4 linked regions of the Lonchura striata genome follow. Each later gene encodes a partner of the first gene's protein in a complex. Links are inferred from orthologs where the notes say so. Each region holds a gene or a part of one and is shown on either strand. Other genes may lie near its edges.

Evidence for each region. The genes of interacting proteins can lie anywhere in the genome.
Region 2: DDX5 (region 1) and SRSF1 share a complex: the UniProt entries of both Homo sapiens proteins name them as parts of the ribonucleoprotein complex. The link is inferred for Lonchura striata from reciprocal best matches to the Homo sapiens genes DDX5 and SRSF1.
Region 3: DDX5 (region 1) and ARVCF share a complex: the UniProt entries of both Homo sapiens proteins name them as parts of the ribonucleoprotein complex. The link is inferred for Lonchura striata from reciprocal best matches to the Homo sapiens genes DDX5 and ARVCF.
Region 4: DDX5 (region 1) and PA2G4 share a complex: the UniProt entries of both Homo sapiens proteins name them as parts of the ribonucleoprotein complex. The link is inferred for Lonchura striata from reciprocal best matches to the Homo sapiens genes DDX5 and PA2G4.

The regions. Positions count from the first base shown.
Region 1 is NC_134621.1:8,414,095-8,421,883, reverse strand, and holds the start of DDX5 (putative ATP-dependent RNA helicase DDX5), read left to right. Parts: upstream 1-4,429; 5' UTR 4,430-4,537; coding exon 4,538-4,569; intron 4,570-5,910; coding exon 5,911-6,076; intron 6,077-6,222; coding exon 6,223-6,319; intron 6,320-6,404; coding exon 6,405-6,538; intron 6,539-6,660; coding exon 6,661-6,726; intron 6,727-7,103; coding exon 7,104-7,245; intron 7,246-7,320; coding exon 7,321-7,481; intron 7,482-7,630; coding exon 7,631-7,789. Other genes in the region: CEP95 (centrosomal protein of 95 kDa), read right to left, coding at 1,133-1,193. UniProt on the Homo sapiens protein: Involved in the alternative regulation of pre-mRNA splicing; its RNA helicase activity is necessary for increasing tau exon 10 inclusion and occurs in a RBM4-dependent manner. Binds to the tau pre-mRNA in the stem-loop region downstream of exon 10.
Region 2 is NC_134622.1:10,652,347-10,659,413, forward strand, and holds SRSF1 (serine/arginine-rich splicing factor 1), read left to right. Parts: upstream 1-4,762; 5' UTR 4,763-4,899; coding exon 4,900-5,093; intron 5,094-5,259; coding exon 5,260-5,444; intron 5,445-5,651; coding exon 5,652-5,824; intron 5,825-6,079; coding exon 6,080-6,274; 3' UTR 6,275-6,292; downstream 6,293-7,067. UniProt on the Homo sapiens protein: Plays a role in preventing exon skipping, ensuring the accuracy of splicing and regulating alternative splicing.
Region 3 is NC_134620.1:8,196,959-8,204,696, reverse strand, and holds the start of ARVCF (splicing regulator ARVCF), read left to right. Parts: upstream 1-4,463; 5' UTR 4,464-4,606; intron 4,607-4,733; exon of another isoform or gene 4,734-4,765; intron 4,766-4,848; exon of another isoform or gene 4,849-5,018; 5' UTR 5,019-5,070; intron 5,071-7,738. UniProt on the Homo sapiens protein: Contributes to the regulation of alternative splicing of pre-mRNAs.
Region 4 is NC_134629.1:9,433,856-9,442,385, forward strand, and holds the start of PA2G4 (proliferation-associated protein 2G4), read left to right. Parts: upstream 1-5,255; 5' UTR 5,256-5,407; coding exon 5,408-5,495; intron 5,496-8,530. Other genes in the region: ERBB3 (receptor tyrosine-protein kinase erbB-3), read left to right, coding at 176-247, 977-1,250, 2,788-3,314. UniProt on the Homo sapiens protein: May play a role in a ERBB3-regulated signal transduction pathway. Seems be involved in growth regulation. Acts a corepressor of the androgen receptor (AR) and is regulated by the ERBB3 ligand neuregulin-1/heregulin (HRG).

The DNA of each region.
Region 1 (7,789 bases):
TTATTTACAGTGAAAATAATCTGTAAGTGTCTTTGACTCCACCAGAGGTGGTCAAACAGGAGGCTGACCAATCCATCCAAAATATTAAACAGTGTTTAAGTGTAATCATAACCCAACTGGACTTGGGAAGTGAAAAACACTGAAGTACCAGAGGCTGGGCAGGTTAATTTTTTTTTCCATGTAATGAAAAACAAATTTGCATCTGGTCTATAGCCAGGACCTCTAAACCTTCAAGACATTAACAAGCCAAGCTTTGATACACCATTTATCAATTATCAGAAATAACAGGTTCTTTTTTTGGAAAACATGAGCTTCTCGGACAAACTCAGGTTCTCTAATAGCCTTAGGCAATGTCATCACTGCTAATGTAACTACTCCTCATAAAAAGTAAATTCTACTTTAATTATTTAAGGATTAGAAGAATACAGAAGTGGTCACACCAAGTTCTCTGCTGAGCACAAGATGTGCATTAACATTGTGATTTTCCTCAAAATTTGAGTCCTAAGATCAAAGTGCTTTGAAACACACATATTTTAACAAGCATTAAGAACTTTAATTTATTGGTGAAGACATAAGTCACCTTTGGAAGAAAAAAGTATAGAATTACTACAACAGAAACAAATTGGTACAGTTTTCAGTCTTCTGTACAGAGGAGTGTTACTTTTCCATCTCTCTACTCCATCAGTTCCAGACATCACCTTAAGTTTCAGATGCACCAAAGGTTAAAGCAGCATCTACATTTCAGGCTGATGTCTTGGAACACTTGAGTTACTGTTCATCTGTAGCTTTATTAAGTTAAAAGTGTAGCCAGGAAAGGAACAAAGAGGGGAAGGGGGAGGTTAATGCAAAGATCTTAAAAAGCTGTAACACAAGAAAACAACAGCTTTATAAATGAATAAGCATGAACTGACTGGGTGAGCTTTAATAAATAATGACTGAATAAAATTGTGCCAGCGATGCGAGCAGCGGCGGGGAGGGGGAGTGATAAGGGAGAAGGAAACTTTCCGGGTCGTCTCTCCCGGCTCTGCGGGTGCCAGGCCGGGCGCTGCTCCGGGAGCGGGGCCCGGGGCCAGGCCCACCGCAGGGCCGGGCGCAGCGAGCGGCGGTCGGAGCCCCCCGGGGCCGGCCCTACCTGCGCCCTCAGCGCTGCCCATGGCGGCACCAACGACCGGGGCCCGGGGCCGCCCCGCCATTTAAACCGCGGCCTGCGCGCCCATTGGGCAGCCGCAGGAAGGGGCGGGGCCGCGCGCCCGGCGCGTCCGGTGCTCTCGGTCGTGGCCGGTGTTACGGGAGCGGGGCGGGCCCAGCGCCTCGGTAACGGGCTTGGGAACAGGCCTGCGCTTGGACTGGGAACGGGGAGCAAAAGAAAGAGCCCGTGCCCCAAGCTAAGCCGCGGCGCCGGTGCCGTGAGGGGCGCCGGTGCGGTCCGCCCGGTTCCGCCACCGGCGCAGGGCCCCGCGGGCCGAGGCCCCGGGCAGCGCGGGCCGGCCCCGGGGCGCTCCGGCCGCCGAGCGCTGCCGGCGGCGTAAAATGGCGGCGGGGAAGGCGGGGGGAGGGGGGCCTGTCCGTCAGGTTCCGCCTCCGTCACCTGAACAGGAGGCGGGTGGCGGCGTTTATCTCGGTAAATGGGGTGGGCAAAGGGCCGGCCTGGGGCGGGGGTGGAGCGGGGGAAGTTGCACCACTTGACCTTGCAGGCGTGCCCGGGACGTTTGCTGGCCTGTATGTCCATTAGCGGGGATTGCTGTTAATTGCCACGGTTTGGCAGTTCGAAGGCATTTCTGCATGAAAGGAGAGCTAAAACGTTTATTAAAAATAAAATGCGTAAATGAAAGTTACTGTACTAGCCGCTAGCATGCAGTTTATTGGACAGGTTGGATGGTGAAAATCTCTTACTTCCCTTTCTGAGCAACAGTATTGCATGCTCCTCAGGAATTCTGGGTTTTCCATGTTGAAAGAAAAAATGGTGCCCTTTATCGTTAAACCCCTCAAGCACGGCAAAGGCAGCTGAGGTCCCAATTTTGACCGTAAGAACAATGACTGGCAGCAATAAAACCTCAGTGCTGTGAGCTCCAGCAGCCCACGGGTGTCATTTGTCGATCCAAATCCAAGTGCACACACCACCTCAGGAACACAAAAGAACTTTTGTTGTGTGTAAGCAAACACAGATCAGTGCTATCGAAACTAAACTAAACACAGATTTTAGTTTGCTGCATACACAGCTCTGCAAAACTGTTGATTTGTTTCCATGTGCTGGCTCTAAGAGAACATGGGAAAACCAAGGATGTTTAACTTAGGAGGGTGGAACAGAAAAATGAGGAAGTTTTTTTACAAAGTAAATTGAAAGGAGTTCCTTGCAGACTTAACTGCGTGTAGACAAGGCAGGGACTGGGTTTTTGTTTAGTCTTTTCAATTCTTTAATACCTTAGAAAGATTAAACAGCACAGTAACAGGAGCCACAGAGTTATACACAAACAAAACCAAATTAAGCTGTGTTAAGATAAATGCACCAGAACAAGAAAAGATAATTCATTTTTACAGCGTTTGCAAAAAATTTTTTTAGACTCACCAGGAACAGGAAGCCTGTAGGGTCAGAAGGTGGAGAGTGTTAGTAGGGGTATTTGGGGTTAAAAATTTTTCATAAGCCATATTAAATAAGTAAGTCTCTACTGAAAAAAACTGGGGGCATTCCTCTACTAGAAATTTGCTGGGGTAGTATTAGCAAAACTGGTCAAGTTGGAGTGCTATTGAAAGAAATAATTAATTACAACAAAAAATTGGTTGAGCAAGGTGGAATTCCAAATTGCTGAGGTTTGAACAGTTTTGGCTATTCATAAACAAAATAACCCTGACTTAGGTGTTACTTTTGAGGACAATATCATGCAGACCTCTAGTCTTAGCAAACCCTGCTCTATTCTTAGCAACAAATTTTAAAAACTGCTATAAAGTAATACACAACAGATCGAAACCACCTTTATACTTTCATTATGTAGATCTGTATGAGGTCCAGATCTTAAATGCTGTGAATTTCTTGTCAATAAAGGCAAAAATAGCAAGGATAATTAGAAGCATGGAATCGCTTTAAAAGGAGGAAAAATTACACTGCAGCTTTGGTTTATTATAAAGGAGGTGACTTAGAAGATATTAATGCCCACAAACAGTATAAATAAACAAAAAGTTATTACTCACCATTTCTACTAACTCATTGTTTTATGCTCCTTATTATTATCCAGCAATATGTTGAAAACGAAAGTAAATGTTTTTCAGGTTGCATACACTAAAACCGTAAAATACATTGTCATGGTATCTTACAAGCTAAGGGCATAAATAGAACCAAATGTGAAGAAATGGCCATCAAATACAGTTATTTTTGTCCCAGAAAAGCCTTAAAGCACAGATTGCTAGAAGGTGGGAGGATATAAATGGGAAGTGTTGTTATAGCACTTCTCCTTCCTTATGTTGTTTTCATTTCTTCCCTCTCTGCCTGGAGCAGGTGGCTTCGGGTGTTTGTGCTTAAAACTTTAAGTCCTGTGTGTGTAAAGCTTCAGGTCGCCTGACACTGGCCTGGCAAAGCCGGTGGGTGAACAGCAATGTCCACTTGGGGTATTGAGTGTTTTTATCCCGTGCCTTCAGAGCAGCTTTTCAGCACCACTGCACCTCACATGACCTTTGACTCAGGTTACTGGCCCTGGTGTGGAATCCAAAAAGATAACACTGGTAATTTTACAGACATATGCTTATAAATATTTCTGTTCATGTATATGTTTATAAACATTTTTTAAAAGGCAATGGGTTAACAGAATAAAAGAACTAGCCTGAGGAGGTTTGATGTTATTTTGCATCCAGCTCCAGGATCTGCACATCTGGGTCCTTCTGAGAGCGAAAGTCACAGGTGGACATAGAGCCAATGTACCGTGAAGTATGAGTTTTTATTAGTTAAAAACCTGGGCTCATCTCAAGTTATTTCAGGAGGATTTTCAGAAACAGATCTGTGAGAACTGGGGGACTGCACTGCGGACATCAGGGTCCGGCTCTGCCCTGCCAACAGTGATGAGGAGCTGAGCTGCGAGCTGCGTTCTGAACACGCTGGGAGGCCGAAAGCCTGCACTTAGGGAGGATGGAAGAGAGCATTCTCCATTTGCATTTCCGGCCCCCTCAGGCCGGGATGCCCTCAGCCAGAACGAGGCTCCCGCCCGCAGCGGCCCCGCGCAGGCGCGGGCAGGGGGTGGGGGCCGCTCCCCGCGGGGAGGGGGCACTTCCGGCCGCGAGCTCAAAACCGCTCGGCCGGGCGAGCCGCGGCCACGCCCACAAAGGGGCGGAGCCTCGGCTCGGCTCGGGCCGCTTGCATAACGGCGGGGGTGGGGCCTGCGCGTGCGTCACGCGCCGGCTCCCAGCAGCCCCCGCTGCGCCCTATATAACCGGCGGCCGCGCGGCCGCGCGCCCACAGTGAGCGGCCCCCGCCAGCGGCGCCGGATCTTGTGCAACCCTTCGCCACCCGCTCTAAGCGACCGGAGTCGCCTCGCCCACCGCCACCATCGCCATGCCCGGGTATTCCAGCGACAGGGATAGAGGGTGAGTCCGGGGGCACGGCTGGCGCCAGCCGCCGCCAGCGTCCGGACTCTGAGCCTACCCGTGGGGCTCTCGGGGTTGTTTTTCAGACGTTTTAAGATGGCGGCGGGGCGGGGGTTCGGCCCTGAGCCCTTCCCTCAGCGCTCCCGCCGCGAGGGTTGGCCGTGGGGGAGGGTATCGGGCTTTTTTAGGCCACCGACTGGAAGATTCCTTCGCCTCAGAGCACCCCTCGCGGGTGTGCTACCGCTGAGAATAGCGTGGGGGAGTTTTAATTTTTTTTTTTTCCTGTTGGGAAGGAAAATACTCGCCCCAACCCCCTTGGGACGCCCCCCGCCCAGCACAGACGGTCCGTGCAGAGCCCGATTCCCCCCGCTGGGAGCGGCGGGCGGGCTGGAGGTTTGTGGGTCAGTGGGTTGGCTGTGCCGAAGCCTTGGGGAGCTCTCGGCAGGGCGGTTCCCTCCCGTCCCTTCCCCCTCCCGAGGCTCGGGCTGTGGCCGGCCGGAGCCGGCCGGCTCCGCTTTGTGTTGTGTAAGCGGATGTTAATGGCCGGCCCCGCCATGCGGTGGCTGAGGGGAATCAAAATGCCGGCTATGCTGCTGCTGCCTTTGTTCCTCCTCCCCCCCGCCCAGCCCGGCTCTAAAATGGCAGCGGCTGGAAAATGTGGCGTAGACAGAAATGAGAGACAAAGGAAACAGCGCTGGCAGGAAGCAGCGGCCGCTCGGGAAGCGCTGTGTTGTGCTGGGAAGGATCGTTCCCAGTGCCCGCCCGGCCAAAATTGGGAAGTGATCGGGCCGGGGGAGGGAGACCTGCGCTCGGATCCAGTGCGCGGCACCGATCTGCGCCTCGGGGCTTTCGAGATCAGCCTCCTCCGAACGGAGGGACGGAACCTGAAACGCTAATAAAGCGCATGTCCTCATAAAACACCGTTGTTAAAAGAAGTCTGTCTTTTGGGACATGCAAAAGAACGGTTTACAGGAAAGTTATCTCAAGGTTTCGTAACTGCTCCTGCTTTCAGTAATAGGACTGTCACTGGGACGGGAAACCATTTTGATCACGGGGTAGTGCCAAGGTTTTAATGCTTGTTGTAACTTGCTGTTCAATTGCATTGTATGGAAATGGGAAAGACGTTGTCTTAGCTTGTGAGTGTGAATTGTGGCCAGGCAGATTGTGGCATCTGCAGCTTAAAGTATGGCTTTTAAAGTTCTAGTGTCCTGAAACTTCGATATGTAGAGTTTCTACATCTAAATTGTAAAGTTAATGGGTGTACTGCAGACATAGTGGTGAAGTTGTTCAGGAGGACCAAAATGTTTTTCATGCATTCTATAATGTGTTCTTTTTGCCTAGGTTTGGAGCCCCTCGTTTTGGAGGAAGTAGAGGTGGACCTCTCTCTGGGAAGAAATTTGGAAACCCTGGGGAGAAACTTACAAAAAAGAAATGGAACTTGGATGAGCTGCCCAAATTTGAGAAGAACTTCTACCAAGAACATCCGGATGTAGTTAGACGTACTGCGGTATGTACCTGACCTGGCTCAAGCCAAAAGTAAACAGAAAGTGCAAACATGTTGAGGGTCATGAGGCCCAGCAGGCACAGATGGGGTAACTTAAAATATAACTGGTATCAGACATTATTTCCAATAATGGGTGTTTCTTTTTGCAGCAAGAAGTTGAACAGTACAGAGCGAGCAAAGAGGTCACAGTTAGGGGCCATAACTGTCCAAAACCAATTATCAACTTTTACGAAGCAAACTTCCCTGGTAAGTGAAGACCAGTTTACTTAACTGTTCTCCAGACTGGATTAGGGCAACATCTGAATCTGTATGTTTAAATTTTCTCTTCAAGCAAATGTTATGGAAGTAATTCAGAGGCAGAACTTCACTGAACCAACTGCTATTCAAGCACAAGGTTGGCCTGTTGCATTGAGTGGATTGGATATGGTTGGAGTGGCACAGACTGGATCAGGGAAAACACTCTCTGTAAGTTTTGATTATAGCCTGAAATACTGCTGGATTTCAGCAGTGACAGTATGGCCTAGCCTAGCACAGGGTGAAAACTTCTAGGAAGAGATTGTAATGAGATTTTTCTTTCTTCCAATCAGTACTTACTGCCTGCCATTGTGCATATAAATCATCAGCCATTCCTGGAGCGAGGAGATGGACCTATTGTGAGTATTCCTAAATTAAAGGGGATTTTAATTTCTAAGGATTTTATTTTACAGTCTCAGTTGGTCCTGCTCATAAGAGTGCATAGCTGCATTCTGCTTCTCTGTGTGAATAAAGTGGTTCCCTGTTGGGCTGATTTCCCTAGCAGATTCTATAATCTCTGATTGGGTTGTCCTCAAAATAGTACAGAACAGGGTTTGATTTTGGGTTATATTTTGGAAGTTGCTATCCCTGGAAGCTACCAGGTAACTTGGTTTGCTGGTTTGGCTGCTTAAATCTACTTCTGTCAATCTGGCATTGAACTTTACACTCAAAATTTTAAGTCTCAGACTAACCTTCCAATGGGTATTGAACTAAAAGATGGGTATCCTGTTTCCAGTGTCTTGTGTTGGCACCAACCCGTGAACTCGCCCAACAAGTGCAGCAGGTAGCTGCAGAGTACAGTAGAGCGTGTCGTTTGAAGTCCACGTGTATTTATGGAGGTGCTCCAAAGGGACCACAAATCCGTGACCTGGAAAGAGGTATGGATCAGCCTTGGTGCATCTGTCTGAGGGAATGGGGAAACTGCTTCAGCTGATGGGACTGCTTGGTTTTAGGTGTGGAAATCTGCATTGCAACACCTGGAAGACTTATAGACTTCTTAGAAGCTGGAAAGACCAATCTCAGGAGGTGTACTTACCTTGTCCTTGATGAAGCTGACAGGATGCTTGACATGGGATTTGAACCTCAGATCAGAAAAATTGTAGATCAGATAAGAGTGAGTATAAATAGTTAATGCATTTATTGCTATGGCAGATGTAAACTACTGCCACTACTCTTGATAAAGCAAGGGTGGGTAAGCCTGGGTTTTGGTTGGGCATTTAACTTAACCCTGTACTGATGTTTCATTGGTCTGATCTTCTCTAGCCTGACAGGCAGACTCTGATGTGGAGTGCCACATGGCCTAAGGAAGTGAGGCAGCTGGCTGAAGATTTCTTGAAAGAATATGTGCACATCAACATTGGTGCGCTGGAACTGAGTGCAAACCACAACATTCTTCAGATTGTGGATGTGTGTCATGATGTA
Region 2 (7,067 bases), on another chromosome or scaffold:
CAGTGGTACAGCAAGTGCAGCATTATACATAAATCAAATGCATTTGCATTGCAGAGCAGAGCATGGAACAGCCGCTGCTGGGGCCCCGCTCCTAATTTCTGACACATCTTTTAACCTGCTCATTTAAAAGCACTTACTTTGCATCCTTCTCCTTAAGAATTAGTGGGATATGAACCATGAGGTTTCCTAGATTAGGAATGTCTGGATAATAAAATGCTGTGGAACAGGATTTCCAGTGGAAGCAGAATCCTTTCAGCAGTACCTGGGCACTGGGATCAGCAAACCTTGGCAGCTGATCCCACGCTGGCCCTTTTGTAAACATTGAGTTTATTTTTCCTCGTTTATTTGCCTTTCATTGAGCTCCAACAGGAAAAATATATGGCTCAGCGTCCCTCCCACCCTGGTCTCTGTGAGTTTTTGTTTCACATGGTTATCACAGTCCTTCGCCTCCTCCAGTGTTTACATAAAGTTACAGCGCCCACAAAACAGCTCCAAAAACTTTATTTGTATTTTAAAATAGTCTGCTTGAAACCAATCTTAATGCATTTCTCTCTCGTTGTAGTTCCTCGTGTTAAATAAAATCAGCAGACCCTCAGTGATGCCAGAGGGGCCGCGTGGTGCTGAAAGCCCCGAGTCGGGGAGGCAGCGGGGACATCGGCAGCGCTGCCAGCGGCTCTCCACGCAAAGCTAATGGAAAACCTTTTAAAAACCACCCAGGCCTGGCACATTTGGGTTCTTTCTGGAGAACCAAGAGATGCAGCTCTGTCCACGCTCCCAAGGCTTGGCTGGGTGGCACGGCCCGTCCAGAGACACCCCTGGGATGTGTCTGTGGCCCTGCGGTGTCCTGGCAGGGATGGTGACAGACGCCACACGCCAGATAAGAAGTGATCATCACCTCGAATTTACAAACAGCGTTTCAGTTCCCTGTGTCAGGATGGCACTGCCCACTCCCAGCTGGAGCACAAGAGCTGGGAAGGGAAGTGCCAGGAGGGGCCGGTGAGCTCCGCTGCCGGAGCTGTGCCGCTCCGGCCGCGGCTGCCCAGCGGATCCCGGCGTGGATGGCTCAGCCAGCTGTGTGCCACGCACCTGGAGTGTGGGAATGCCTCCAGCAGAAAGGAGCAAACTCCAGGAAAATAGCAACAGCAAAAGGAAAAGGAGCAGCTGCAGGAAAAGCCTCGCTGCCCAGTCCCCGCCAAACCGCGAGGTTCCCTCTGGAGTGAGCGACCCAAATGGATTCGCTCCTTTCCGCTTATTTATTCCTTAGCAGCAATGACTGTTAGCAGGTTTATTTACATTGACAGCTTGCATTTATTTTCCTCCCTCTCCTCGTCAGGCCTTGGAGCATCCCACCAGGCAGGGAGAGGGAAGAGCAATGCAAGCAGCTGCCACAATATTCGGTGACAGTGGGAGGCAGGGAGCAATGGCAGAGCTCTGGATAAACAGAAATGTCTTCCCAGAGAAATAAATCCATGAAAATGGACTGGGGGGGCTCACTGAAAATTCTGGTCTGTGCTAACTGCTGCCCCTTTCCCTCCCAGCCCCAGCCATGGTGTGCTGGCATGTGGGAATCACTGCAAATCCAAGTAACGTGAAAACAAGACAGCAGAAATCACAGCAAACCAAACAATTTTATTATTTTTAATATTTAAAAATTAACCTTTTATTGCTACCAGCCCAACAAATAAACACGTACAATTTAACTGATTCTGCTTCCCTGTGCCCCCTCACTGTGCTCCAGGGACCTGGGATCTGAGCACATCATGGGGTGTGGCTGTTCTCAGAAAGGAAAAACAGCAGGGTTTTGGAAATTTAAAAAATGAGCATTCCCAATCCCCCTGGGACGATTTGAATTGTGGTGGTGCTACCTCTGCTCGTCTGGCTTTTCTCCTTTAAGTCCCCACCTGTGTGTGTCCTTTTGGGCTGGCTTCCAGGAAAAATTCCCACTGGCAGTGTGCTGTGTTTTCTGTTTGCATCCAGACATGCCCCAGCATGTGCAGAGGAAATCTCTTTGCTTGCAGTTAAATCTGCATAAATAAAACAAGCTGTCACCATCCACTGCTGTGGGAATTATTTTCAAGCTTACACACACTTTCCTTGTCTTATCTTAAGCTCAGAGTTTCTCTGAAAAAGTCAGACTGGTATTTTTGGATTTTTTTTTTTTTTTTCCTACATGCAAAACAGTAAGTTTGATCACCTGGAAGCACTGTTTAAAATGGACACACACACACACACACACCCCCAAAGTATCAGCTTTGTATTTCACTCCAAAGGCACAACCTGTGTGGTTTCAAGTTCCTGGTGCAATGCCAAGGAAACCCCTCCAGCAGCAGATTCCAAAGGACAGTTACCAGAGGGAAATTACAAGTTTGGACAGTTCATTGCTCAGATCTCAAAAAAAAAAAAAAAAAAAATTACTTCAGATGCCTCTTAAAAACCGACCCTTTTCTCCCAGACAATCTGGGCTTTGATGAACTGTTATTTTGCAACACAGTAAGATTAGTCAGGACTAATCCAGCTGGATGCTCTGTAGCAAGGATTAGGACAAACAGGTTCTGTGTGACAGAGCTGGGCGATGACAGGCCACAGCCCCAGCCCTGCAGCTCTGCCTGGGAAACCTCCTGCCTCCCAAGTTTCAGCAGGAATAACAATAAGCAATGATGTTATGTGCCTAATATCTGCATTATTCTCCCTTGGAAAGCCCTCGTTTCCATTGCTCCCATTTTGAGGACAAAAACTTGTCATTTTTGAGTAGTTGGCTTCTTTTTTTCAGCAAGATTATTTGCCTTGCCTTCCCAGTAATTTATTTTCTACATAACTTATTAATTCCCCACATATGTGTTTTGCTAGAGAGCCAAAACTGACTCTGAGAAATAAGTATTGTGCAGCATCTCCAACTGAACACTCCAGTGATAACACAGACCTAAGGAAAGTGATGAGGAAGAAAACATCTAATACTGCTATAAAGAGACACTTCATTAAGGTAATTAAGAGAATCATTTAGAGCAGTTATGAGGATTATTAAGACACAAAAGAAATTATGCAATGGGGTTTACACAAAGCAGGCAGAGTTACCATTGGTTCATGATGCCTTTAAGAATAACTTTCAGTGGTTTTAATGAGTTTTTGAAAACAGAGACTCATTTCTTGGCAAGGGATGGAGTTTCCCTACACCTGGGAAAAGCATAATCAGGATCTTTGTGGGGTTGTTTTTTGGTGGCAAGAGGACTTGTTAGGTTTTTTTAATATCACAAAAAGGTTTGGGCTGGGAGGGGCCTTAAAGCTCATCCATGCCATGGCAGGGACACCTCCCACTGTCCCAGGCTGCTCCAAGCCCATCCAGCCTGGCCTGGGGCACTGCCAGGGATCACAGAATCCCTGAATCGTAGTTTGGAAAAGACCTCCAAGACCACTGAGTCCAATCCTGGGCCCATCACCACTGAGTGCCAGTCCTGCCACTCCTTGGGCACCTCCAGGCATGGGAACTCCATGAAGTGTTTCTGGTGAGCTGGCAAATAACCAAACAGCTTGTTAAATTGTGAGCAGCTTGTTCAATCTTCAAAGCCCATTATCTGCCCCAAATCACCCCCTGAGGTTACACAGATTCACGACAGGCGTTGTGCCCCACTGCAGAGAGAACTGTGAAACCTCAGACTCTGTCACAGATGCAGAACATGGCCAGGCAGTCGGGAATTTACCCTTTGCCCTTGTGAAGATGGGCTCTCCCACCCTTGGCAATCCAACATGGACATTTCTCCTTAAAAACCTTGGGGCAGAGACATGCTGCCCTATTGTAAGTGCAGGTGAACCCACTGGGAAAAAATGCTGATGTCTGCCTCCAGTTCAGAGCGCTGAATGATTTCTTTATTATAACTATACTACAATACATTAATATACTATTTAAAGGAGATACTAAAACTACAAACCTACTTTTTCTAAGTCCCATATAACTCACTCATAACTCGTGCCCCTCTCTGAGAGCCCAGCCCCAGGTGGGTTGGATTGGCCATCAGGCTCAAACAATCCTCACCTGAATCAAACCAATCACCCCAGGTAAACAATTCTCCAAACACATTCCACCTGGGAAAAACAAGGAGCAGAAATAGAAATTGTTTTCTCTCTCTTTCCTCTGTGCTCCCCTATGAAAAATCCTGGGAGAGAGAAGAATGTGCCTGTAACACTGCCCTTCCACTTCGGGGGACAGAGCTGGGCACAGAACCGGGCACGGCGGGAACAGAAGTGGGGACAGAGCCGGGCACACAGGCGGGCACAGCACAGAGCAGAGCCGGGCTCGCAGCCGGGCACAGGGCAGAGGCAGAGCCGGGCTCGCAGCCGCGGCCATGAGGGCAGAGCGGGCCCCGCCGCGCCGCGGTGCATTGTGGGCCGCGCCCGCTCTTGGCGCCAAGCGCGCCCGCCGTCCCGCGCGGTGCATTCTGGGCCGCGCCCTCCCCGGCCGGGCCTAAAGGCGCGGGGAGCCGCACCGGACGTGACGCCAGCGGCCTCCGCCGTTTGAGCCGCTACCGGGAGGAGCGTCTTTTATATGCCGCGGGGACCGCAGTCTCCGCACGGTATAACGGAACTCCCGCAGCCTCGAGACCCCCGTACGGACTCGGCTTCTCCGCGGCGGCAAGAACCGAGGGACTACTTTGTGGCGGAACCGCGCATGCGCGCGGCGGGAGGCTGAGGGCGCGGCGGAAGACGCGCGCGCGCTCCGCTGAGCCGCCGTTGCTGCGGGCGGTGCTGCGGCCGGTGGTGCGGCCCGCGGTGGGATCGGTGCGCGCAGAGGCCGCGCGAGCGGAGGCGCGGGCGCCATTTTGGAGCGGCGCTCGGCGGTGAGGTGAGGCGGAGCGCCCCGAGAGCCCGGCCCGGCCCCGCACCGCCGCCAACATTGCCGACCTCGCCATGTCCGGCGGCGGCGTCATCCGCGGCCCGGCCGGCAACAACGACTGCCGCATCTACGTGGGGAACCTGCCCCCCGACATCCGCACCAAGGACATCGAGGACGTGTTTTACAAGTACGGCGCCATCCGCGACATCGACTTGAAGAACCGCCGCGGGGGCCCGCCCTTCGCTTTCGTCGAGTTCGAGGACCCCAGGTGAGCCCCCTCCGGCGCTGCGCTGGCCCCCCGGGCTGCCCGGAGCCCCCCGGGAGCAGCGGGCCGCGGTGGCGGGGCCCGGCGGGGAGCGGCGGGCGGGCGGCGCGAACAAAGGCGGGCGGGGGTGCGGCGGCCGCGCTCACCGCCCGCCCCGTGCCGCCCGCAGGGACGCGGAGGACGCCGTCTACGGGCGGGACGGCTACGACTACGATGGGTATCGCCTCCGCGTGGAGTTCCCTCGGAGCGGCCGCGGCACCGGCAGAGGCGGCGGGGGCGGCGGGGGCGGAGGAGCCCCCCGGGGCAGGTACGGCCCGCCGTCCCGGCGCTCGGAGTACAGAGTGATCGTCTCGGGTGAGTCATTGCTCTCTCTTTCTCTCTTAGCGTAAGCGCTCCCCCGGGGTCCTGCAGGCGCGGTGCTGCTGCCAGCATCTCCTTAAAAAGCATGGCCCCGTGTGCTTTGGTGTCCCCGCGATGCTGAGCGCTCCTCTGCTCTGCTGCTGCAGTACAGGAGGTGAGGCTCTAATCCGGTTTTAAAGTCACGTTTTGGTTTTTCCCTAGGGCTGCCTCCAAGTGGAAGTTGGCAGGATTTAAAGGATCACATGCGTGAAGCAGGTGATGTATGTTATGCTGATGTTTTCCGAGATGGCACTGGTGTCGTGGAGTTTGTGCGGAAGGAAGACATGACCTACGCTGTGCGAAAGCTGGATAACACTAAATTTAGATCTCACGAGGTAGGTATCACACTTATTCTCTTTGGCCAGAATTGGATACAAGGGGCTTAACAGTAGGATTTGAAGGTAAGGAACGCGTGGTGGTCGCTGTTTGGTTAGGAGGCAGCTAAGTGAGTGTGTGGTCAGGCCGGACATAGACGTGTAAGCTCTGCTGTGTGTCCCGGCCATAGTAGCACTGTCTGCAGTCTGTCAGCATGCCTGAAACATGGCCCTGAAGCCTCGACGTGTCAATCGAAAGTTCTGTCTATCCAATAGGGAGAAACTGCCTACATCCGTGTTAAAGTTGATGGCCCAAGAAGCCCAAGCTATGGAAGATCTCGGTCCCGCAGCCGTAGTCGTAGCAGGAGCCGTAGTCGCAGCAACAGCAGAAGCCGCAGTTATTCCCCAAGAAGAAGCAGAGGATCTCCACGCTACTCTCCCCGCCACAGCAGATCCCGATCTCGTACATAAACATCACTCTAGCTCTGATCTTTTTGTAGAACCCCATGTTGTACACAGTTTTCCTTTACTTAGTACAGTCTTTCATTTTTTTTTTCAAATTCCAACTGTTTTACTCGAATTGGCTGAAGTGTTGAATTGCATTCTTGTGTAAAATCCCTAGTGAGTATTTGCTCCTGGACACCGACATTCCCCTCCTGTCTTTGGTAAATTGTATTTTAATTGCTGTCAGTCAGGATTGTTCTGGTTTAGTTCTAGTTCGATACCAACATTCTTGGAGCCGTGGTATTGCTGTGTAAATGTCTCAGTGTTCCGCTGTGGTCGAGACGAGCTGGGGATGTTGGGATGTTTGTGGCTAACTTGTCTCTTCTGGGGGATCTTACATTTTATCTTGCCTTTTCGTGTGTCTTTCTGTAGACATATCTGAAGAGATGGATTAAGAATGCTTTGGATTAAAGGATTGTGGAGCACATGTCAATCATTTTAGGATTGTCAAAAGGAGGATTGAGGAGGATCAGATCAATAATGGAGGCAATGGTATGACTCCAAGTGCTATTGTCACAGATGAACTTGGCAGTATTGACCTTATACTGAGAGACAGGGGAATTGAGGCCGAGCACCTACGTGTCCCCACGTGTCGCTTCAGGCATGTCCTCGTGACCGCAGGCTGCGATTGCTCTTCTCTTTTAAAACTTCTTTACTGGGGGGGCAATTGTGGCCAGATCCCTGCTTTTGTAATTCTCTATTCCATTCTCGTTCTCTAAAGCAGTAAGCGGGGCCGGGGGGGAAGTATTGGTTTGTTTGT
Region 3 (7,738 bases), on another chromosome or scaffold:
AATTCCATCGCATAACCAAGGAAAACAGGTGCGAACTGACACCTGAAAATATCCCCCGAGGTGCTGCTGGATAAATTTAGGTTGAAAACCTTAAGCAAATGGCGCTCAGGAGCAGCACCTTCCCTGGCGGGGAGGGCCGGGGCTGCGGCCAGAACGGCACACACAGCGCCCAGAGCAGGAGCCCGACAGCTCCGGGAGGATGGTGGCAGCTGAGGCGGCCCCGCGGGGGTCCGAGCCCGCCCTGCCGGCACGGCGACCCCGGCCCCTCGCTCCCTCCCGCCCCTCCCTCACTCACCCACGGCCGCCGCGCCGCCCGTCCCCCGCGCCGCTTCCGGAGGGCGGCCGGGCCGAGCACACCGCCCCTCCGGGGGCCGGGCCGGCTCCTCCTCCCGCCGGCGCTGCCGGTACCGGGCCCTCCCTGTGCCCCGGGACCGGCACCGAGCCCTCCCTGTGCCCCGGGACCGGCACCGAGCCCTCCCTGTGCCCCGGGACCGGCACCGAGCCCTCCCTGTGCCCCGGGACCGACACCCAGCCTTCCCCCTGTGCCCCGGCACCAGCACCGAGCCCTTCCCTGTGCCCCGGGACCCGACACCGAGCCCTCCCCTGTGCCCCGGCACCGGCACCGAGCCCTCCCTGTGCCCCGGGCCCGGCACCGAGCCCTCCCTGTGCCCCGGGATCGGCACCGAGCCCTCCCTGTGCCCCGGGATCGGCACCGAGCCCTCCCCTGTGCCCCGGGATCGGCACCGAGCCCTCCCTGTGCCCCGGGACCGACACCGAGCCCTCCCTGTGCCCCGGGGCCCAGCACCGAACCTTTCCCTGTGCCCCGGGATCGGCACCGAGCCCTCCCTGTGCCCCGGGCCCGGCACCGAGCTCTCCCTGTGCCCCGGGATCGGCACCGAGCCCTCCCCTGTGCCCCGGGCCCGGCACCGAGCCCTCCCTGTGCCCCGGGACCGGCACCGAGCCCTCCCTGTGCCCCGGGACCGGCACCGAGCCCTCCCCTGTGCCCCGGGATCGGCACCGAGCCCTCCCTGTGCCCCGGGACCTCCTTGGGCTGTGCGCGGGGCCGGTGCGGCACCGCCCGGCATCCCCCAGAGCATTGGGATGTCATCTCCCAGCCCCTGAGCTTCGTCTTGGCTGCCTCAGCCTGCTGCCAGCCCATCTGGTTTCATGCTGAGACGAGAAATTCGGGTAGTAGTAAAATGCTTTTCACTGTTAGGGTGGTCAGGTGTTGGAACAGGTTGCCCAGAGAAGTGGCAGAGCTGCCATCCTTGGAGGTCTTTAAGTCTGGTAATGTGGTTTAGTGGTTTATAGATGTTACAGTGTTTAATGAGGTTGGACTTCATGATCTTTAAGGTCTCTCCTCACCTTGCAGATTCTATGGAGAAATAAAAACATTACATGCCTGATCTGAGCTTCACAGTGCTCATAGCTCTGAGGACAAACAGACCCAAGGCTGCTGACAATCTCAGAGGGTTTGGATGCAGCTCCTGACCCCTCAGAACAAGGCCCTGTGTGGGATAATGTTCCCCTGACCACCTTCAGCAGAGACTCTGCTTCCAGGAGGGCCCCCAAAGTCACTGAGCCCTGAGTTTGCAATGGGATGAATTCCAGCCAGAACAGCTTTCCTGAGAATTGAGGAAAACACAAGTGACAACATCAAATTTGCTTTCAGTTATTAGCACAGCATGATCAGAACTGATAACCAAACATTTAGTAATTTTACCTAGATCTGCAGATTTGGGTTAGGATTGGAGCTGTGTCACCTTTTTGTTCTACTGAAATATTAATATTATTTCATTTTTCAAACAAAACCTCAAACTTTATTTATTACTTTTTTTTTCATGGGTGGCAATAGAGGGATTCAGTGGAGCCTGTAAATTACAAAATGTTTTATAGTGAAGCCTGTAAGGAAACACCATAAAAGCCTGAAGTGTTCTTCCAAGTTCTAACACTGATAAACACAATACACACAAGATGTGAAACAGTAATTAAAAGAATTCCCAGGGGTATATAGATGTGTTAGGTGGCTTGTCAGGCAAAACCTTTTATCCTGGATACAGAAAACCTGAAGTCAATTGTCAGGTTTAGCACTGCTCGGGCATATGACATTGAGCAAGTTCACCTCAATGCTTTCCTTCTCCATCATCAACAATAGGATGATCACATTGACCTTTGCAAGGTCTCCTGAGATCTACTGATGAAAATTACTGGGTGAGTGTATGATCATCATTCTTTGTACTACTGCTTCTGAAACACAATAGATTGCAGTTATTACCTTGAGACATACAAACCTAGAATGTATTAATGTTTTCAGGTACAGAGTTGTTATTTAAAGCAGTTATCTGGTGACTAAATAGATAAATTATACAAATCTCTGTAACACTGAAATTGGTTAAATGCATGCACATTAAATATAATGTATTGTACTTTCTGGCACTCTGAGTCTTGAAGTATAGATTCATCACTGTAACCAAAGATCATTTAGCTTCTATGCTTGATTCTAATTTAAAATCTACAGATGGTAATCTGCATACCTTCAACAGCAGTCACATCTGTGGGAGGAAAAAAGTGTCCATAGGCTTAAAATTCAATTCTGTTTTTTACTGGATTTTTTTCTATTTTTAATACATATGGGAAGTAAGAATAAGTTCAGAGTCATTTAAAAAGCCTTTTAGGAGGCTGCACAAAAAGAGTCCACTGCAAGAATTTGTGAATAATGGATTTGGTGGCCATTTTGACTCTTCCTTTTATTCTTGTGTCTACCTTTTGTTCTGCCAAAACTAGCTTGGTTATTGTTGCCCCTTCTAGACCTTGTCCTAGGGGATCAGTGTATAGCTCCCATTATTTGTCAAACTCAAATAGACTGATCCCAAAGCAGGCTCTGCTTCTGTATCCACTTTAAGAGAGTGGTACTGTCAGGGCAGAACCTCTCTTGGAAAAAGCTAAAATACAAGCAGAAGCTTAATTAAGGGCTTGTAGAATTGTCCTGAGTTGGTTTCAAAGACTAAAAGAGAACTAGTCCTGACATTTGTTTAAAGAGTTTGTTCTTTGAGTCCTGGAATGCACATTATTTCGAATGCATAAAGCACACTTTAGATAGATTAAATATCTTTTCCCTGAGAGGTCTCAAAAAGCAGCTTTAAAGAGGAGACATCAGGGACCCTGACAATTTTCTAGAGATGGGTTCTTGCCCATATCTAGTTTAATACCTCCACCAATTGTCTAGATGATGCAAAATATTTATTAGGAAATTTTGTAGCCTAATAAATTAGTGGGTAAGTCACAATTGTCTACAAAAATCATCTGATGTGTCCAATAAATCATCCCAGTCCAGTAAATTGCATTTTTAATAGCATAAAATGTAAGGAAATACATCTGGAAATAAAGAATGCAGAGAAGGGGTTAGAATGGCAAAAAGTACCTCAAAAAAGAATTTAGTTGTTATTATTTCAGTGTGACCTCTCAGGATAATACTGTGGTAAAATGGACTACTCTAACTATTTACTGTATAAAATACAGAATATATAAGGGAAACAGGGAGCGACACTGTCTTTGTCCACAGCACAGGGACATTGCTGCACCATTTCTGACACCCACGGTTAGGGAGGGAGGAAAACCACAGGAAATTATTAAAAGGAGGAACATAAATTAAACCACGATATAAAATAGAGGCGTAGGAAGCTCAAGCTATTCCGGTTACCGAAGGCTAAGCTGAGAGGCGACGACGGCAGCGCACAGACCACTGCAAACGGCGAGAAGGTCAAGTCAGACAAATCCCTGCGGATCGCGTGCCAGCATTACCTGGCTGGCTGCACCTGACGGGCCTCTGCCACAGCATTTCAGCCACCAGCTGGGCCCGCCGCCCCGGGCGAAGAGCTGTGCCGGGCGGCGTTCACTGCCGAGCGCGGGAACCGTGCTGCCGCGCAGCGGGGCGGGGGCGCGTCCCGGTGACCGCGCGGTCCGCGCCGCTCCCGCGGAGCGCACGCCGCCGGCGCGCCGCTCTCCCGCCCCGCGGGGGCCGCCCCTCCCGCCGCCCGCCGGGGGCGGGGCCGCCGCATGTGACGGACAGGTCGGCGGGCCAATGGCGCGTGGCGCGGCCGGCAGCGCGCGGCGGCGGGGCGGGGCCGCGCCAATGGCGCTCCGGTTGCCGGGCGCGATCGCAGCGGCGCCGCCCAATGGGAAAATTCGCGGCGCGGGAGGCGCGCGCTGGTTCGCGTGCGGCGCGCGACGGTCGGCGGCGCGGGCGCGCGGCGCGCGGCCCCTCACGCCTCCCGCGTTCCTGCTCCCAGGTGCGAGTGTTGAGGAATGTGCCCCGCTTGGAAAAATAAATAAAGAAATAGAGAGATGGGCGGGCGGTGGCATCATGGGCTGGCCGGGCAGTGCGCTCCCGTTTCCCCGCGGGCCGCTCCGGTTGTTTTCCGAGCAGTAGTTTGGGGAGGGAGCGCGTTTTCCAGCCGTGCCCTTGGACCTTTTTACTTCAGGAGCACCGTCAGCGGCCAAGCCGGAGTGCGGGAGCGGGGACCCCGTGGGCCCGATGGTAACGAGCCCATGTGCTCTGTAGAAAAGGGGAATTCCCCTGTGTGCTCCAAAAATCACAGCAGAAAAGGTATATGCAAGAAAAGGGTTAATGAGTATTTCCACCTCCCCCTCCTTCCTCCCCCACCCCCCGTTGGATAAAGATGGTCTTGGATACCCTTTGTAAATAGGAATGTGGAGGTGGGAGGGGAAAATCAGCCCGGCTCCGACTACTCGGCGGCCTCGGTGGGTGAGCGGGCGGGAGGAGCTGGTGCAGCCCGGGCGCTCTCCCGGGGAACGCGCGGGGGACGGACGGGCACCCGCGGGGCGGGCGCGGCGGAGCGGCTCCTGCGCGGGCGGCGGGAGAGGAAGACAAGGGCTGACATGCTGCCCAGCGCCTGCCCAGCGCTGTATTGAAGAGTTGGGGGGGTTGCCCCTTTTTATTTTTTTTTAAACATTTTTTTTTTTTTTTTTTTTTTTTTTTGTGCGCCACCTCCTTGAAGCCACTAGCAGCAAGGAAAATAAGCTGAGGACAGAGAAATAAAGACGGAGATGGTGAGCAGATCGCTGGGTTGGGGGGGAATGAATGAGGTTGCCGGGCTATTTTCTGTGAGGTTCTTGCACGGTGTAGTACGTTTTGGGGTGATTTTGCATCACGATTCCGTGCTAGACTTCTTTGTTTGCTAAAGGCTGCTGGTTCAGGTTTAACAGCGTTCATCAGTTTATTGTGAGATGCGCAACGAGGAGTTGATGTATGCGAATGCCTGAATTACATACGCAAGCCACACACACAAGCAAGCCCTAAACAAACCAACATTGTAATAATCCTGCAATATGATGGGCAGCTCGTGTCATGGAGGGAAGTCATTGCTCAGGTTATTTGTGGTATGCATAGGAGATGAATCTCTTTGTAGCAAAGACCAAACAAAATTAACCTATTTTTTCACACACGCGATATCCATTACACACTTAAGAGCCAGAGTTAGGGGTTATTTTTTAATTTTCGCTTTCCCTGCAGTATTGAGGTCCACGGTTAAAATCTGACGTTTGTAGAAGTTGAAAAACTCTTTGAAATGTTCACTTCTAGTGAATATGAAATAGTAAAGACTGTCTTTCGTGTTTTTTCCCTTTTTTCATGAAGGCACTTGTTCGTGTGTGAAAGGGGGAATTCTTAAAACACGCACTTTGCTTGTTACGCTGTACTGTTGTGCCTTTAGGTAGGTCACAATGCAAAACGTGATTCATAGCATGTTAAAAAAAATAACTCTAAGTTGTTTGTTTTTTTTTTTTATCAAGTGAAGACCTGTTATCGTTCCAATAGCTTAAACCCTAAATACAAGTTTTGCGGGGGGAGGCGGGAAACAGCCCTCCTGATTTGTATTAATGGAAATGCTTTATGTTAAAAAATCCTGCTTCTAAATGACAGAATATAGACATTGCCTGATTGTAACTTCCTGTGGATAAGGTACTGCAATCTGCTGAATACAGTAGTCCTTTAAGGCTCCATAAATTTAGACATATTTTGTTTACAAAATTGTGTAGCACTGCATGGTGCAATAGTAAAATCTGAAATTTTAGTGATTTTAGAAGTGTAGCAAGGCACTGCAAAAGAGAAAATATGCAGCCTCGTATTAAATCTCCTATGGAAGAAAAGGAAAAGGTTTGTTTGTAATACAGGGTATGCACAGCAACTAAAGTAACTGCAGGGGCTGTAGAGTTTGGAGTTTGTATAGAAAAAATAACTTGTGAACTATGCTGGGGTCTTCATCCTGCAAGGTATTTGGATGGATGATTCTTAAATTTATTTTAAGCAGCATCTCTGTCAGTTCTTCTCTGAAATATTTAAATTATATGCTCTATTAGGCAAATGGGTTTATCTTCCATTGCTTGGTTAAAGGAATGCATTTGGAAGGCAGGAACAATAGTTTAACTGCGTGGTTCATCCTTGTGCATTGTTCAGAGATCACAGTTTGCATTTTATTTGACATTGGTGATTTTTATAAAGTGGACTTTTTTATTTTATTATTATGCCATAGTTGCTGTCAAATAACTGAATTTCAATTTATAGTTTTGATGTACTATTTGGCCAAAATAGATGAAAAATAGTTCCCTTCTTTGAATTTTGTCTATTAAATTCAAAATCTCTGCAGTTGATTTCAGTATTAGAAAGTTTTTAATATTGGAAGAACCAACAAGAGCCACAAATAGAGGGAGTTTCCCATTTTGAGTTAGGACACTGTACTAGAAATGGCAAAATTCCTGCCATTTGCTTCTACTTCAAATTTTGTACAAACTGTAGTTTAGTTTAGATATCTTGTCCTGAAGACCATCTGTATGCATATTACAGTTATATAAAACTAAGCTTTTATACTTGATTTTATGTAATGCAACACATTATATCTGCAGTGCTTTTGGTGGATCTTGAGTACTGTCAGAATTGATACACTGCAAGAAAAACCTGTTAGAATTCTTGTGCTACCAAGTTTATAGTTTGTCGGTCTTAATATTTTATTGTGTGAGTATAAATCATTGACACAGACATTGTAAACAAATGCTGTAGCAGCTGAGTATGATTTTACATTTGGCTTGTGTCTTTCCAGTTTAACCAGAGTATGACAGTATTCTGTCAGGTGTGGTGCCATCCTAATAGCCATCATAGTTAACCTTCAAAGCACTTTGGTAAATTTTTTCAATTTCTTGTCTGTCTTTACAAAATAAAGAGGAAAAGGCCAACTCTAGGTTACACCAGTATAAGTAGGGAAGGAATTTCACATGTGTTGCATGCAGGTACCTTATTCAGACTTCCTGTGTATCTCTGGAAATTAGCAATGAGATTTTAAAGGTTAAAATCCACCTATTTGTAGAAAAAAGTTCTTTCCGATATGCAAGACATCTAGAGTACACATGTAACTTGACAAAATATATTTTCTTCACAGAAGGGCATTAGAGGTTTCATGTGTTTAAGCATTAAAATAAGAACAGGGAGATTTTCTTAAATTTCAGGTAGGATGTGGTCTACCTGTGAGCTGAAGCAAGGCAGTAACCACCTGAGCGTCTGAGAAAAGAAGCAATCAACTTAGATAATGAAGTGACTTTTATTTCCTTCAGCTAACTTGTGTAAAACAAAGCCAACCCCAAAAAACTACTGTGCAAATATTTTGTAGATTCCCAGTTTGTTTTGGATTGCCTGTGAAATTCAAGGGTAGGAGTGAAAAGGACAAAC
Region 4 (8,530 bases), on another chromosome or scaffold:
TGGTGTCCCCTTGATGTCCCCTCGATGTCCCCGCGGTGTCCCCGCGGTGCCAGCCCCGTGTCCCCGCGGTGTCCCGGTGTCCCCGCGGTGCCATCCCCGTGTCCCCTCGATGTCCCCTCGATGTCCCCTCGATGTCCCCGCGGTGCCAGCCCCGTGTCCCCGCCTGTCCCCGCAGAGCCCGAGCCTGCTGAGCGCCCCCGCCGGGTACATCCCCATGAACCCGCCGGGCCTGGGCTGCCCCCGCCAGGTACGGGGGGCTCGGGGGGCTCGGGGGGCTCGGGGGGATCGGGGGGATCTGGGGGATCGGGGGGATCTGGGGGGCTCGGGGGGATCGGGGGGATCTGGGGGATCTGGGGGATCTGGGGGGATCGGGGGGATCGGGGGGCTCGGGGGGCTCGGGGGGATCTGGGGGGATCGGGGGGATCGGGGGGATCTGGGGGGCTCAGGGCAGGTTTGGGGTGTCCCCCCTCACCATCCCCCTGCTGTCCTCAGGCTGGGGGGTCCCAGGGTGGGTTCGGGGTCCCATGACCAGTTCGGGGTCCCGGGGCGGGTTCGGGGTCCTGGAGCCGGTTGGGGTCCCGGGGCCGGTTGGGGTCCCGGGGCCGGTTGGGGGTCCCGCGGTGAACTCGGGGTCCCGGGGCCGGTTGGGGTCCCGGGGCCGGTTGGGGGTCCCTGGACAGGTTCGGGGTCCCGGGGCCGGTTGGGGTCCCGGGGCCGGTTGGGGTCCCGGGGCCGGTTGGGGGTCCCGGGGCCGGTTGGGGGTCCCGCGGTGAACTCGGGGTCCCGCGGTGAACTCGGGGTCCCGGGGCCGGTTGGGGGTCCCGGGGCCGGTTGGGGTCCCGGGGCCGGTTGGGGGTCCCGCGGTGAACTCGGGGTCCCGGGGCCGGTTGGGGTCCCGGGGCCGGTTGGGGTCCGGGGCCGGTTGGGGGTCCGGGGCCGGTTGGGGGTCCCGCGGTGAACTCGGGGTGTCCCCCAGCCCGGGGGCTCGCGGCCGCCGCGGCGGGGCCGGCAGGACTCGCTGGGCCGGTCGGTGTCGGAGTCGTCCGAGGGTCGCGGCGCCGGCTCGGAACCGGAGCCGGGCGCGGGGGGCGGCCCGGCCGGGAGCCTCGGGCGCGGCCGCCGCCCGCGGGGGGACGGCGCCGGCCCGGGGCACCGGGAGAGCCGCGCCCCGCCGGCCCCGCCGCCGCCCGGCTCCCCGGGCAGCGAGGAGGACCCCGACGGATACGTGACCCCCACCTGCGCCCTCCGCGGTGAGGGGGCCCGGGGGTCCCATCGCGATGGGAGTGGGGGCTCCCCCTGTCCTGGGGGTCCCTGTGGGGCTGGAATGGGGCTGGGGGTCTTGGGGAGGGGGTTTCCATCCCATTTGAACGGGTTTTGGGGCTCCCCCTGTCCTGGGGGTCCCTGTGGGGCTGGAATGGGGCTGGGGGTCTTGGGGAGGGGGTTTCCATCTCATTGGGTCGGGTTTTGGGGCTCCCCCTGTCCTGGGGGTCTCTGTGGGGCTGGAATGGGGCTGGGGGTCTTGGGGAGGGGGTTTCCATCCCATTGGGTCGGGTTTTGGGGCTCCCCCTGTCCATGGGGGTCCTTGTGGGGGTCCCATCGCGATGGGATGGCAGTGGGGGTCTTGGGGAGGGGGTCTCTATCTCATTTGAACGGGTTTTGGAGCTCCCCCTGTCCTGGGGGTCCCTGTGGGGGTCTCATCCCGCTGGAATGGGGCTGGGGGTCTTGGGGAGGGGGTTTCCATCCCATTGGGTCGGGTTTTGGGGCTCCCCCTGTCTTGGGGGTCCCTTTGGGGGTCCCATCCCTCCAGGGTTTTGGGTTGGGGTCTCTTGTGGCTCTGGGGGCGGTCCATCCTATTTTTGGGGTGGGGTCCATCCCCTGTTTCTGGGGGGGGTCCCATCCTGCAGAGTTTGGGGGGGTTCATGTGTCTCTGGGGGGGGGTCCATCCCCTGTTTTTGGGGTCCCATCCCGCACGGTTTGGAGGTTTCTGTGGGGTTCCATCCTGTTTTTTGGGTGGGGGTCCCATCCTGCAGATTTTGGGCGATTCATGTATCTTTGGGGGGGTCCACCCCTATTTTTGGGGTGGGGGTCCCATCCTGCAGAGTTTGAGGGGTTCATGTGTTTCTGGGGGGGTCCATCCCCTCTTTTTGGGGTGGGGGTCCACCCCGTTTTTGGGGTGGGGTCCATGCCCTGTTTTTTGGGGTGGGGGTCCACGCCGTTTTTGGGGTGGGGGCCCACCCCGTTTTTGGGGTGGAGGTCCACCCCGTTTTTGGGGTGGGGTCCATGCCCTGTTTTTTGGGGTGGGAGTCCACTCCGTTTTTGGGGTGGGGGTCCATCCCGTTTTTGGGGTGGGGGTCCATGCCCTGTTTTTTGGGGTGGGGGTCCACCCCGTTTTTGGGGTGGGGGTCCATCCCGTTTTTGGGGTGGGGTCCATCCCCTGTTTTTGGGGGGGGTCCCATCCTGCAGAGTTTGGGGGGTTCATGTGTCTCTGGGGGGGTCCATCCCCTCTTTTTGGGGTGGGGGTCCACCCCGTTTTTGGGGTGGGGTCCATGCCTTGTTTTTTGGGGTGGGGTCCATGCCCTGTTTTTTGGGGTGGGGGTCCACCCCGTTTTTGGGGTGGGGGTCCACCCCGTTTTTGGGGTGTTGGGTGCACCCCCTGTTTCTGCGGTAATTCCGGGGCTGCTCTTTCCTCATTTCGCCCTGCTCTGAGCCCAGCCGAGCCCCCCCAAACCCCTCTGGCACCCCTGGGGACCCCTGCCCGGTGCGTGACCCCCTCCCCACCCCCGGCAGACCCCGCCGCGGGCTCGGTACCGGCACCGGCGGAGGAGGAAGAGGAGGAGGAGGAGGAAGAATACGAATACATGAACCGACAACGGGGGGGATCCCGGGGACCCCCCCAACCCCGCCCGGCCTCGCTGGAAGAACTCGGCTACGAATACATGGAGGTGAGCCCCGAGCCGGGGGGACCCCCGGGAGCCCCCCAGCCGGGGGGACCCCGCCAGGAGGATGATGAAGATGAGGAAGAAAACTACGAGTACATGAACGAACAACCGCGGCTCAGCCGCTCGCTGTGCGCCGTGCCGGGAGCCCCGGGCCACGACGGCTACACCGAGATGAGAGCGGCCGAGACCCCCGCGACCCCCGGCGGGGCCGAGCAGGGCTACGAGGAGATGGAGGCGGTGGCGCGGCCCCGCCGCTGCCGCGGGGCCCCGGCCATGAAGGCGCTGCGGAGCCTGGAAGCGTCGGACTGCGCCTTCGACAACCCCGACTACTGGCACAGCCGCCTCTTCGCCAAAAGCGATGCCCGGCGGACGTAGGGGACCCCCTTGAGACCCCCGAACGCCCCCCTGCATGCGAGACCCTCCCCCAAATTCCGGGGGTTCCCATCGGATGTGAAGGATCCCCCCCGGGTGGGGTTTCAGCGCCTTTTCGGTCTCTTCTCGCTTTGATTTTTGATTTTTTGGGGTTTTTTTTAGGGGCGGGGATTGAGGCTGAGCACGCCCAGGTGGGGAGGGGGCAGCGGAGACCCCCGGGATTCCCCTCCCATCTTGATTTACCCCCTTGAGACCCCCGAAACGTCCCCCTCCATCCGAGACCCTCCCCCAAATTCGGGGGGTTCCCATCGGATGCGAAGGATCCCCCCCGGGTGGGGTTTGAGTCCTTTTTCCGTCTCTCCTCGCTTTGATTTTTGATTTTTTTTTGGGTATTTTTGTTTTTTAGTTTTATTTTGGGGGGGTCTCGAGCACGCCCAGGTGGGGAGGGGGCAGAGGAGACCCCCGGGATCCCCCTCCCATCGTTGATTTCCGCCCTTGAGACCCCCGAACGCCCCCCTCCATCCGAGACCCTCCCCCAAATTCCGGGGGTTCCCATCGGATGTGAAGGATCCCCCCCGGGTGGGGTTTCAGCGCCTTTTCGGTCTCTCCTCACTTTGATTTTTTTGGGGTATTTTGTTTTTTCGTTTTATTTTGGGGGGGTCTCGAGCACGCCCAGGTGGGGAGGGGGCAGCGGAGACCCCCGGGATTCCCCTCCCATCTTGATTTAAGCCCCCGAGACCCCCCAAAACCCCCCCAAATTCGGGGGGTTCCCATCGGATATGAAGGATCCCCCCAGGTGGGGTTTCAGCGCTTTTTTGGCTTCTCCTCGCTTTGATTTTTTTGGGTTTTTTTTTGGATTTTTTGGGTTTTTTTTTAGGGATGGGGGGGTGAGACTGAGCACGCCCAGGTGGGGAGGGGGCAGCGGAGACTCCCAGGATCCCCCTCCCATCGTTGATTCCTCCCCCCCCATTCACTGAAGGTGCTCCCCAAATTTTTGGGGGTCCCTTGGGGGTCCCTGGCCCCACCCGCGGGTGCCGGACGGGATTTCTGAAGGACCCCCGACTCATTTCCAGGCTCCCCATTCCCTGCTGAGTGAAGGTTTTGGGGTGTCCCACCCACGAGGGACCCCCGGGATCCCCTTTTGGGGTGTCCCCCTCCCCTGACGTCACCCGGGGTCCCGTTTTTGGGGTGTTTCTCCCGGTTTTTCGGGGGTTTCCCGGTTTTGGGGGGGGGGGTTGGAACCCCCGTTCAGGGATCGCCCCCGGTCCCGGGGGGGGGTCGCGCGTGATGGAAATAAATGAAAATAAAAGAATTTAGTTAAAACCTCGGAGGGGCTGGACCGGGGACACCGGGGGGACACCGGGGGGGACACCAGGACCGGGCTCCGGGACACCGGCAGCCGCCGGTACCGGTACCGGTGCTTGGGGGGGGGTCACGGGGGTCGAGGGGAGCACCGGACCGGGGTGTCCGGTGGTGTTGGGACCGTGGGGGTGATGCCGGTGGGTGGCTCCGGTGTCACGGTCCGGGAACACCGGGGACCGAGAGCGGGGACCGGCCCCGGTGTGGCCGCGGTGCCGGTGCTGGGGTTGGGGGGGGTTGAATGGGACGGGCGCGGCGGGGCTGGGGGCTGTGAGTGGGAGCGTTGCTGCAGGGTTGAGCCCAGGAACGTGGCGAGGAAGCGCTGGCAGAGGGAGGAGCAGAACGACCGGTCCCGGCGGCGTCCCGGCACCGAAATTCCGCACCGGCACTTCCGCCTACAACCCCCATCGCCCCCCGCGCGCCGCTTCCGCTCTCACCCCCCCACCCCTTCTCGCGAGAGCCGCGCTGCACGCCGGGAGTTGCAGTCCGCAGCGCGAGGGTGGGCGCGGCGCAGCGCGCTCCCGTCCGGGGGCTGGGTTTGCCCGCGGGGGGTGATGGGAGTTGTAGTCCAGGGGGGCGTGGAGGCCTGGCGTTCCCAGCGTGCCCCGCGCGGAGCCCGCGCTCTGCCCTGCTCGCGCCTCCGGTCTCGCGGTCCCGGGGCTCCCTCAGCACCGGGGGGGGGGGGCGGCTCCAGCAGGCCCGGGGGGGCACCGGGAGGGCTCCGGGGGGCTCCCACCATGTCGGGAGAGGAGGAGGCCGCCGAGCTCACCATCGCCGAGGACCTGGTGGTGACCAAGTACAAGATGGGGGGGGACATCGCCAACCGTGAGTGCGGGCCGCGGTCGGTGCGGGGGGGGGGGGGGAACGGCGGGGGGGGGGGGGGGGGGGGAGCGGGTGGGACCGGGCGACCCCCGCCGGTGGGAGAGCCCCGGGTTCGGGGGTCCGGTGGGCTGTTCGGGGCTGGGACCCCCCCGCGTGTCCCGGTGGGACCCCCCCGGGGCTCGGTGCCCTCCCGGTGCCGGCGGGGCCCGGCCCCGCGCCGCCGCCGCCGCCGCCGCCCGCACGTGGTACCGCGCCCCACGTGCACCGGCGGCGCGGGGAGCGGGGCCGGGCCGGGCCTGCCGTGCCCCGGACCCTCCCGGTGCCGCTTTTGTTCCGGTGGGACCCCCCCACGGACCGGGGCTCCTCTCCGGTCCCGGTTAGCGCCGGGACGGGATGGGAGCGGGACGGGAGTCCCGGGGGGGCGGCCCTGGCTGGGTTTGGGGGGTGGGGGCTGACCCGGGAACGGGGTCCGGTTCTGGGGACGGGGTCCGGTTCTGGGAATGGGGTCCGGTACTGGGGATGGGGTCCGGTACTGGGAATGGGGTCCGGTTCTGGGAACGGGGTCCGGTTCTGGGAATGGGGTCCGGTACTGGGAACGGGGTCCGGTATTGGGAACGGGATCCTGTCCCAGGAACGGGGTCCGGTTCTGGGGATGGGGTCCGGTTCTGGGGATGGGGTCCGGTTCTGGGAATTGGGGTCCGGTATTGGGAATGGGGTCCGGTACTGGGAATGGGGTCCGGTACTGGGAATGGGGTCCGGTACTGGGAATGGGGTCCGGTATTGGGAATGGGGTCCGGTATTGGGAATGGGGTCCGGTACTGGGAATGGGGTCCGGTTCTGGGAATTGCGGTCCGGTTCTGGGAACGGGATCCTGTCCCGGGAACGGGGTCCGGTTCTGGGGACGGGGTCCGGTTCTGGGAATGGGGTCCCGAACCGGTCTGGGGATCCTGTCCCGGGAACGGGGATCCTGTCCCGGTCAGGTTGTGGATCCTGTCCCGGGCGCGGGGTCCGGTACCGGGAACAGGGTCCGGTCCCGGTCCCGGGGCTCCTGTCCCGGTCAGGTTGTGGGTTCGGTACCGGGCACGGGTCCGGTCCCGGGGCTCCTGTCCCGGTCAGGTTGTGGGTTCGGTACCGGGCACGGGTCCGGTCCCGGTCCCGGTCCCGGTCCCGGTCCCGGGGCTCCTGTCCCGGTCCAGGACATGGATCCAGTCCAGGGCACGGGTCCGGTCCCGGTCCCGGGGCTCCTGTCCCGGTCAGGTTGTGGGTTCGGTACCGGGCACGGGTCCGGTCCCGGTCCCGGGGCTCCTGTCCCGGTCAGGTTGTGGATCCTGTCCCGGGCACGGGTCCGGTCCCGGTCCCGGGGCTCCAGCCGCCCCGCTCCCTCCCTTTCCCGTTCTTTCCCCTCGCTGCCGGTGTCCCGGCTCCGGGAAGCCGCCCGGACCGGTTCCGCGGGGCTCCCCGGTGTCCCACGCCGCTTCCCGCTGACTCCAGCGCTTCTGTGGAACCGGCGCCGGTGGCCCGGGAGGGGATTCGGGGATTGCGGAGCCGGGATTCCCTTCGGGCTCCCGGGAGAACTGGAAACTCGGCCGCCTCCCTTCCCGGGGGCAACGGCAGCTCCGCTCCACGGAGCAAAACCCGGCCAAAAACCGGTTTTTTAGGGGTAAAAATCGGTTTTTTAGGGTTAAAATTCGGTTTTCTAGGGATAAAAATCGTTTTTTTTAGGGATAAAAAGTGCCTTAACTCCCTAAAAAACATGGGGAAGGAGGGAGGGATTCCAGGAATGTTCCTGTTCCTCTGATCTCTTGGAATGCTCCGAGGGTTTTCCACCTTTATCTGCTTTTATTTTATTTTTTTTTAATTTATGTTTTATTCCCCGCTCCGTGTGCCGCCGCCTCTTATCGGGAATGTTATCCGTGCTTTCAAATGTTCCCAACTTTCCCGTGGAAAAAGGGGCTGGAATTTGAAGGCCTCGCACAGGTGACAGGGCCGCAGAATTCCCGAGGATTCCTTGGAATCCTGAGGAAGGTGGGACAGAGGGGAACAGAGGGGACATTCCAGGATCCCGGGATATTTTGGGGTCACATCCCGGGATTTTTCGGGATCCCATCCCAGGATATTTTGGGATCCCATTCCAGGATATTTCGGGATCCCATTCCAGGATATTTTGGGATCCCATCCTGGGATCCCATTGAAGGATCCCAGGATATTTTGGGGACCTCATTCCAGAATATTTTGGGATCCCATCCCAGAATCCCAGGATATTTTGGGATCCCATTCCAGGATATTTTGGGATCCCATTCCAGGATATTTTGGGATCCCATCCCAGGATATTTTGGGATCCCATCCCAGGATATTTTGGGATCCCATCCCAGGATATTTTGGGATCCCATTCCAGGATATTTTGGGATCCCATTCCAGGATATTTTGGGATCCCATTCCAGGATATTTTGGGATCCCATCCCAGGATATTTTGGGATCCTATCCCAGAATCCCAGGATATTTTGTGATCCCATCCCAGATCCCAGAATATTTTGGAATCCCAGAATATTTCAGGATCCCATCCCAGCATCCCAGGATATTTTGGGATCCCATCCCAGAATATTTCAGGATCCCATCCCAGATCCCAGAATATTTTGGGATCCCATCCCAGAATATTTCAGGATCCCATCCCAGCATCCCAGGATATTTTGGGATCCCATCCCAGGATATTTTGTGATCCCATCCCAGATCCCAGAATATTTTGGAATCCCAGAATATTTCAGGATCCCATCCCAGCATCCCAGGATATTTTGGGGTCCCATTCCAGAATATTTTAGGATCTCATCCCAGCATCCCGGGATATTTCGGGATCCCATTCCAGGATAGTTTTGGATCCCATTCCAGAATATTTTGGGATCCCATCCCAGGATATTTTGGGGACACTTATTTCCCTAGGAAGGCACGATGCAGGCTGGAATTCCTGTTGGATATTTTTTTTTGGGGCGTGGAGCGTTCCCCAAACTTCCTGGGGCTGTGTCAGCCCGTGGATCCCTTTGGAA